2 separate regions of the Mus musculus genome follow, and region 1 is reported to be linked to region 2. The links are microRNA targets in miRTarBase. Many come from high-throughput screens and were not tested one by one. Region 2 holds a microRNA gene; the other region holds the end of a gene's coding sequence.

What was found. Region 2 holds the annotated microRNA mmu-miR-1843b-5p (AUGGAGGUCUCUGUCUGACUU, at 2,443-2,463, shown strand). A microRNA usually pairs through its seed, bases 2 to 8, with sites in the 3' UTR of a target mRNA and lowers its output. Matches are read on the target gene's strand: a 7mer-m8 pairs with bases 2 to 8, a 7mer-A1 pairs with bases 2 to 7 and ends in A, and an 8mer does both.
Region 1: the mRNA of Ggcx is a reported target of mmu-miR-1843b-5p. Seed matches in the 3' UTR shown: 7mer-A1 at 518-524.

Annotation. Positions count from the first base shown.
Region 1 is chr6:72,429,992-72,433,788 of GRCm38, forward strand. Ggcx (gamma-glutamyl carboxylase) reads left to right here. Exons shown (of 15, transcript NM_019802.5): 15 at 1-1,115. The coding sequence ends at 165. Mat2a (methionine adenosyltransferase II, alpha) reads right to left here. Exons shown (of 9, transcript NM_145569.5): 9 at 2,805-3,797. Among named protein-coding and RNA genes, the nearest start is that of Particl, 6.8 kb to the right of the region's middle.
Region 2 is chr1:159,337,920-159,342,583 of GRCm38, forward strand. It overlaps Mir1843b (microRNA 1843b), which reads left to right and starts at 2,439; the gene lies at 2,439-2,504. All of the region lies in intron 18 of Cop1 (COP1, E3 ubiquitin ligase), which reads left to right. It also overlaps Scarna3a.

The sequences.
Region 1 (3,797 bases), not on the chromosome of region 2:
CGAAACCTGCTATTAGGCCGCCCTTCCCTAGAGCAACTAGCCCAAGAGGTGACATATGCAAACTTGCGACCATTTGAACCAGTTGATGAGTCAAGTGCTTCAAACACAGATTCTTCAAATCACCCGTCAGAGCCAGATTCTGAGCATGTTCACTCTGAGTTCTGAGGGATGTACAGATGCTCTGTGCAGATGTGGGGGCAGCCTGTTATAGGCTTATTGTCTACGCAAAGAACATATTTTTGGAGAAAAATGATATGGGACAGGCTTTCACAGTACAGCCCAGGCTGGCCTCAAACTCATGGTTGGTCCCTCTGCTTCAGCCTGTTTTGTAATTACATAGATCACCAAACCTAGTTGCTTTTCCCTTTACATTTTTTCCCCTTATAAGTTCTTTAAAATTATAGCTTACATTTTTTCTTTTTTCTTTTTTTTTTTTTTGTATTTTTTCTTTTTCAAGACAGGGTCTCTCTCTGTGTAGCACTGGCTGTCCTGGAACTCACTCTGTAGTCCAGGCTGGCCTCCAACTCAGAAATTCTCCTGCCTCTGCCTCCCAAGTGCTGGGATTAAAGGTGTGTGCCACCACGCCCCACTGGGCTTTTAGTTTTTATAGACAAGATTTCTCCATGTAGACCAGACCAGCTCTCCTGAGTGCTGAAATTAAAGGCACGGGACATCACTACCTGGCTTTCTTATTAAACTTGTTTTAGTGGTCTCAAAATTCACTACCTGGCTTATTAATAGTCATTTTTTTTTTTTTTAAGTTGACTTGTTCTTTAGGAAAAGGAATTACACCACAGTGAATGTAGCTGAATTCATTGTGCTTGCTATGTGCTTGGTACCATTTGAAGCAGTGTACCTGAATTAACATACTTAGTACTTTAAGAAGCATTGGCCTTTACCTTTGAAGAAAGGAAGACAAAATTTACCCAAAGGCATCTGGGAGTTGACAATTTGAAATCTGTTAGATTTAAGGTCCTGTATCCTGCTGCTTGTAATTTTCAGACCCACCAACACTAAAGCTGAAGAATTATAGCTTACAACTTATGTTAATGCCAAGTGACTAGGGTGACCAGGTACTAACAAATGCACAAGGTAGATTTTAATTTACAATTTACTTATTCCTATTTGTAGCCAGCAAGTTGCTCAGCATCTTTGGCATCAGAATAGCACTACTAAATAGGGAAGCCAGATGGCTTACTTTTGCATAAATCAGCTTAGTGAATGGTAACTCTCTAAGCCATTGCTGAGTCATAAGCCTTGAGGTTTTCTGCTTTCTTGTATTTGTCCAACTCCATCACATCTTCCTTCTATTCATCCTATTTTTATCTCTACTATCACTCTATCCCTTCACCCTTTATTTTGAAATCTAGTTAGGGATAAGACCAGGGTAGGGTCAATTGCACAGGTTAGGTCTGAGAATGGAGAACCAAAAATCTAGCTTAATGCATACAATGGGCCAGAGGGGTTGGCTCGGGGAGCTCTGATGAAATACAACCTGGCATTATGTCCTTAAACGGTCAGCCCTGAGTAGTAAGGAGGGGGGGGGGTGTCCTTTTCAAACTTTTGCAGTGCTTATGAACCCAAGGTTCACGCGATGCTCCTTCCATGTTGATTTAAGAGTGAATTAAGTGGAGATGAGCTCAGTAGTAGTTAAGCTGCTTGGGACTAGAAATGGGGGTTCAGTTGGTAACATAGTCTCCCATGCAGTAAGTCTTACCAAATAAACTGGGCACTGGTATGCATCTATAGTTTCAGCAGAGGCTCAGTTTAGGGACAGTGCAGGGGAAGCAAGACCCTATTTAGTACTCCACCTATCTCGAGTACACTTCCTGCTTGCCCATATTTCCTTCTCTTCTCACTGGCCTAGTTAAGTGTTTATGTACCTAGTATTTCTCAGGACCTCCTTAAGATTGAGGGCTCAAGCTAGCTTTTAAGATCTCACAAGCACATCTATGTGGTAGAGCACTTTTGAGATGGTCTCACCCCAGGACACCCCCAAATATAAATTATGTAGCTGAGGATCTCAAGTTCCTAATTGTCCTGTTCTTGCCAGTGGGCAATTTGTCATTTTTGTCTTGAGCAAGCAAGCCTCTAAAAACTTGAGATAAGGACTTGCTATTCTTGAATAATTGGATGGATACATGAGCCATTCTGGAGACTACCAGCAATTTAACTATGTCTATCTTTGCCTCCCAAGTGGGAGGATTAAAGGAACAAGCTGCCATCACCACCAGGCAAAGAAAATCAATACATTTTGTGTAACATTAACACCATAGCAGGGTTTCTGATTGCTATGAATTAAAGCTACATGTCTATGAAATTAGTCTCATCTTAAAGTCTCTTAAATGGCCAGGCAGTGGTGGCGCATGCCTTTAATCCCAGCACTTGGGGAGGCAAAGGCAGGCGGATCTGAGGCCAGCCTGGTCTACAGGGTTCCAGGACTTGAAAAACCAACTCTTAAATGTTTTTAGTGCCAAGAAAGAGTAAAATACCTATCTAGCATATAGACTAAATTCCTGCCATCACAGAAGCCTCTTGACCCCTGTTCTGCTTGCTTCTGCCATCCAAAAGGCAGCACTTAATTGCCAAAGCCTTCAGACAGTGTTGATTTCCCAGGACGGATCTCCAAGTGTGAATAAAAATCCTGACCTCCATAAACCGTGGTGCATGCACAGTATAAGCCAGGCTTTCTAAATCACTAAGCTTTTATCGTAGTCCTGGTTGAAAACTTTATTGCTGGCAATGGGTAGCAGATGCTATAAATTTTAGCTCAGAAAGCAACAATGGACAAGTAATAGACACAGTTTGGGTAGAACCTAGCATTTTATTTAGATCTTCATTAAACTGTTGGAATTGAGAACCAGACATACGTAATAAACCTCCAAAAAATAGATCCTGAAAGGCACTTTCTTGCTTAGGGCAAGCAGTCATGGAATAAGCATGTAAACAAGCTGGCTTCTCTGTACCACACCAGCCAAGTCAGCTTTCTCCATGGCCAGCTGCACCAGCTCTGCCCTCCCTTCTGTTAACACCAGCCAGACCCCCTGTAGGTCTAACCCAAGGTTTTTCTGTAGGACACCTTGGCCTACCTGGGAATGCTGGAAACATGTTAAAGGAATTCATGGTGTTGAAGAAAAAAAAAAATCTTTTAAAAGCTGCCATCTGAGGTGATGGCTTCTCTGTACTTACGCCATACCCCAGAATACAATAAATAAGCAATTAGAAAATGTTCAAGTATGAAGGGATTTCCTCCTCCCCGCCAAAAGCACTGCTCTCTGAAGGAAGCTGGTTTCTCTGTAGCTACACCAGCTGTTCAGAAAGCTCATTGGACCTGGTTTTGAAAATAAAACAAAGTTAAAACCCTGGGAGGAGCTATTGTGCAGTGTGGAGTACTCTTTCTTATAAAGAAAAAAAAGTTACCTGGTACCAAAGTGTGCAACCTACAGACCCTCAGGTACTGCCCTGTGACTTCTCTGTATATCACAAGGGTGCCAAATGCCTGTTTTTCTAGACTAAAAGTTGGTGAGGTTTGGCTAGTGCTGAAACCATGCATAGGGTTGGTTTACTAAATAAAACCTTATTACGTACGTCCTCCAAAGACAGCTGAAAAGTGGAGAGATTTTGATTTGGTGCTGTTTGAGGTGGCAATTAATAGCATAAGCACCAGGGAGATGGTTTAATCGTAACTGCCTTTTTTTTTTTTTTTTTCAAAGTCAGGCTAGAGCTCCAACTGAAACTTTCGTTTCATGCAAGATTGATTGGATAGGAACACTCCCTGATAAAGAACTACATAATTA
Region 2 (4,664 bases):
TGGAATTTTAGTTTTGTTCAATTTAAAATCAATGTAGTTAAAGACTCAGTTAAAACTATTAGAGACTAGGATCTTAGAAAGATACACATGCGTGCACTAATTTGATCCTTTTAAGTACCTTAAATATGTATGCCTTCAGACCCTCCCATCTCCCATTGGTTGAGGCTCTCATCATTCCCTTGACCTTATGCCCTTATTCATAGCAAATCTTATTTGAATTATCTTGCTTGTTTAAAGCCTACCAGTGATGCCTCCAGTGATTACACAATAAGATGTAAGTTTAACGTAATAGCTGATAACTTTCAGAAACAGAAAATGCAAATTATTGTTCCAAGTTCAGTATCATAGAATTTTCAACATCATCACATTATACATAGCATCCAAAGCCTATGCTTTGCCTGGGTCAGAATTCATAATTACCTGGAATATGTATTTAAAATTGTAGTTTCTTAGCTTTATGCTTGTTACCTCAAAGTTTCTGAAGATGAGACCTCTGGTCCATCTCAGGCAGACTCCTACAACCTGACAGCCTTTTAACATCACTATTAAAACCTCACCATGCCCAGTAGAACTACCTGAGGGACCAAACTTTTCACAGTGACCCTCCAAGGGGCATTTAGAGCAAACTGTGGAGCCCTATATAGGAATGTACCCAGAAATGACAATGAGGGTAAAGTAAAAACACGTTTATCCAGGTTCAGGATTGATTTAATATCGGGCACACTGGATCAACCAAACTAAACTGGTTTGACAGAAGACAGACTTGTGCTTACAAGTTTATTGACTACACACTGACACAGATGAGTATTTTTTTTTTTTTGTAAATTATGTGATTTGTATTGTAGTGTCCAGGAAAAAATGAGAAAACTGGTCACTGCTGTCTTGTAAACCTGCAAGGTTTTGTTGCAGGTTAGATTCTAGGAAATTGTTTCATTTAGTCGTTCATATTCAGTTTCTGATATGCTCTTCATTTGATTGCTGTACATTGTCAATCAAAATTTTAAGACCTAGAAAAGAATTTTTGCTCTCTTTTTTAATAATCTGTGGCTACTTTGAATTTTGTTATCAGAAATCATTTATTTAGTCAGTGCTCTGTCACTGTAGCCCAGTGTCTGAGATAATCAGCTTAAAAGAGAAAAGATATATTTTGGCTCACAGGCTTAGAGATTGCAGCCAAAGGTTGGTCTGATGGATTATCTTGTAACTTTTGTGGGCATGCCAGATGGCAGTGCTCTCTTAATGGCTAAGAAGCAAAACAGGCAGAAGAGGGGACCAGAGTCTACTGTTCTGTCTGAGAAAATATCCCCAATGACCTAACAGTGCATCCCAATCCCCAAGATCTGCTTGCCAAATATTCTGCTTCACAGAAATGCCACCAATAGATGAAGCCTCTTAACACATGGGCCACATTCCAAACTAGTGAAATGAAGTGCCCTAGTACGTCAGTTTTACACGTTCTTCACCTGTGCCTTTTAATTGATACTTATCTAAACAATTTAAAGTCTAGCTTATTAATTAAAAATTTAAATAACAAAAATAAGAGCGTGTTTAAGACAGTTGAGCATTGAGAATTTAAATCAGAGAAGGACGAACTCTAAGAGTATCTTCTGTAGGAGAGAAAGAGTGTATCACAACATGTCAGTTGATTATTTTCAGCTTTGATGTGTTAGCATTCTTGTTTCCTTCTGGTTTATGTCATGTCATTTAAGGCAAGTGCCATAGAATCAGCTTTGTTGTATATCTTTATCTTCCATTTACTTACCAAGTACAATAATTCTTTCTTTGGGTGTCTCATATATCCATCTTTTCAATTGTTCTGGTTTTGTCTGTATTCTCCTGTTCTTTTTCCCTTGCCCACCTATATTACTTATATGAGTTTTCCATCTCTCTTAGCCTGTCTACATACACTACTACCAAATGACTTCCCATCGTCATAGGCATTACTATTACCTTTGGCACCCGTTATTGAGACAAGTTTCTTGTTACTTAAAAGTAACTGTAGCTTATATATTTTGACCACCAGTCCTATTTCAAGAATATATCATAAGCAAAATACCTATACTTTCAATTGCTTCATCTCACTACAAAAATATGTTTATTGTATTATAATCCCATTGTTACATGTTCTTTGGGAAATCCAAGCACTAATTACAGAGGGAAAATACAACCAAATATATACTTTTAGACTTCTTCTCTCTGACTAGAAATCCTTTGCCTTTCTTTCTTAAATGTGCCTTTTTAGGGTTCTTTTTTATTATGAGAATTCTAAGCAGTTAGAAGTTGGAATAATATAAAAATACAGAAAGAAAATTGGAATATAAAAGACTATAACAAATGTTATATTAAGAATAAATCACACTAACAATGGAAGCTGCGGAGTCAACCATGCAGACAAATGAGAAGCTGTCTTTTGTCTGCAGAAGGCAGCAATCCTACATCAACATGGAGGTCTCTGTCTGACTTAGGATAGCTGGCTAAGTCCGATCGTTCCCCTCCATACAACCTTTTGAATTTCCCCTCTAAATACTGTTTTGTTTATCATTTATGCAATATTTCTGCTGATTAAATTATACTAGATTATAGAATCAAACAAACAAACAAACAAAAAAAAAACCCAAGTTTTCTTCAAGCATTTTGAAGTATTTTATGGATTTTGATTGTTTGTGGTTTGACCCTTTCTTAATGTTCTTTAAAATAAAGACTCACATCACCTACATTCCTAGATTGGAATTCCTGCCTCTACTATTTAAATACAGGCTGGTTGGTAGTTTTTGAAAATAGTTATTACTATTGGCTTATTTATTTGAAAAAAAAATCTGTAACTAGCATGTGTAATGTATGTAGAATTGCCGGGTTTTTTTTTTTTAGGGGTTGAGTTAATTAATCTTGGGCTATCAACATTTTGTATACGAAGGGACTATTGAAAGTGTCTATGAAGTTCTTTGTATTAAAAATTGATTTCTTGCTACATACTAGGACCCATACCTTTGTAATCCCAACATTTGAGAAGCTGAGGCAGGAGAATTGCCTTTAGTCCAAGGCCATGAGTCCCCTATGTTGAATAAAAAAGCAAAATACAGATGTGTGTTCTTTTAAGTCTATAGCCAAAGTTTGGAAATGACCATTTCCAAGGAAAGTTTTTGCTTCTTAGTACAAAATGTGAAGTGTTTGAGTCAAAGTTTGGGTGGGAGGATAGGAGAAAAGGAGCCTTTATAGGAACTGAGAGGCACACAGCACTCGGGTATACTGTGAGCAACCCCACCTAGTTCTATAAATTGTGAGGTGATTTTTGTTTGTGGTCCTGAACTCCCCATGTTTCTTTCTCTGTCCAAATTCTATATGGAACAGTTGTTGAAACAGTAATGAGAGTTGAGACACACTTGTACCTGATAAATTCTTTTCTAGGATCCCTTTTTCCTAGGCACATGGCAAGATTACTAGTTTAATAAGATAGAAATCAATATTGATGTATTAGTCTTCATGAGCTGCTGGTTCTTGGCCTTGGTTTTCCGTAGACTGTCATATAATAGAAAAAACAGAATATTTATGTTCTTTCTTTTTGTCTGGCTTCTTCAGCCTGGTTTGTTGTTGAATTTGTTGACATTATTCTTTGTATTTATAGTTTTACGATAGTGTTGTTTTTCTAAGCAACTTTTTTATTTATAATTGTAGCAAAAGTTTTGTGTTCACTCATTTTGTATGTAAAAATGATTCTAGGTTAGGTTTGAATAATAAGCAAATATTTATATGGCTTAGCAGTCTTTCTTTTACACATAATATCTATAAGATAGAATTGCTACATCATAAGAGGTGTGTAGTTAACTTTGTATTACCTTTTCCCAAAAGTAATGGATTATTTTTTTCATTCTTCTCAGCAAACTATGATCACCTACTTGCTCCTTATCCTTGCCCATATCTTACATTATTAGTTTATTTATTCTAATAACTAAGTTATATTTAATTTTGTTGAGATAAGCTTATCAGCATTTTTCATAGGCTGGTCATAAACTCCATGGTTTTATTTGTCCTCTTAAACTCAATGCATGCGGGTTTTTTTTTTTATTTTTCTATTAGTTGTTTGAGAATTTCATAAAATCTGTTTTGATAATACTCACCCCTTTTTCAACTCCTCCCAGTTTCTCCTCCCCACCCCCAGCCCTTTTCTATTCCTCCATTCTCTCTCCATTTACTTACACTTTTACGTGTAGATAACTTATCACCTTGAATTGATTTTTTTATTATAAGTTAATAAATTGAATTTTGTATTAATGTGTGTTTTTCTCAGTCTCAACATAATTTATATCCTTTGATATCTTTATTTTTATTTTCATTCGTTTATTTATTTATTATTTGATGCTAGGAATTGAGCCTAGGGCTTGGTATAAATGCTAAGCTTTCCTGTACCAGAGAGTCTGTCGATGATTTGTTAATGTTAGAAACCGAGTTAAAATCTGGGTAAATCCTACCTGTATATAATGTACTGCTCTTTACATTTAAATCTTTTTGTGTGGGGGTGTGTATGTACTGCATTTGCAAGTGGAAATCCAAGGGCACATTCTGGGAGCTAGTTCTCAGTTTTCACCCTGTGGGTGGGCCCAAGGATTAGCTCTCAGGTCCTAGGTGTGAAGCCAAGGACCATCAACTGCTGAGTCAGCACCAGCCCC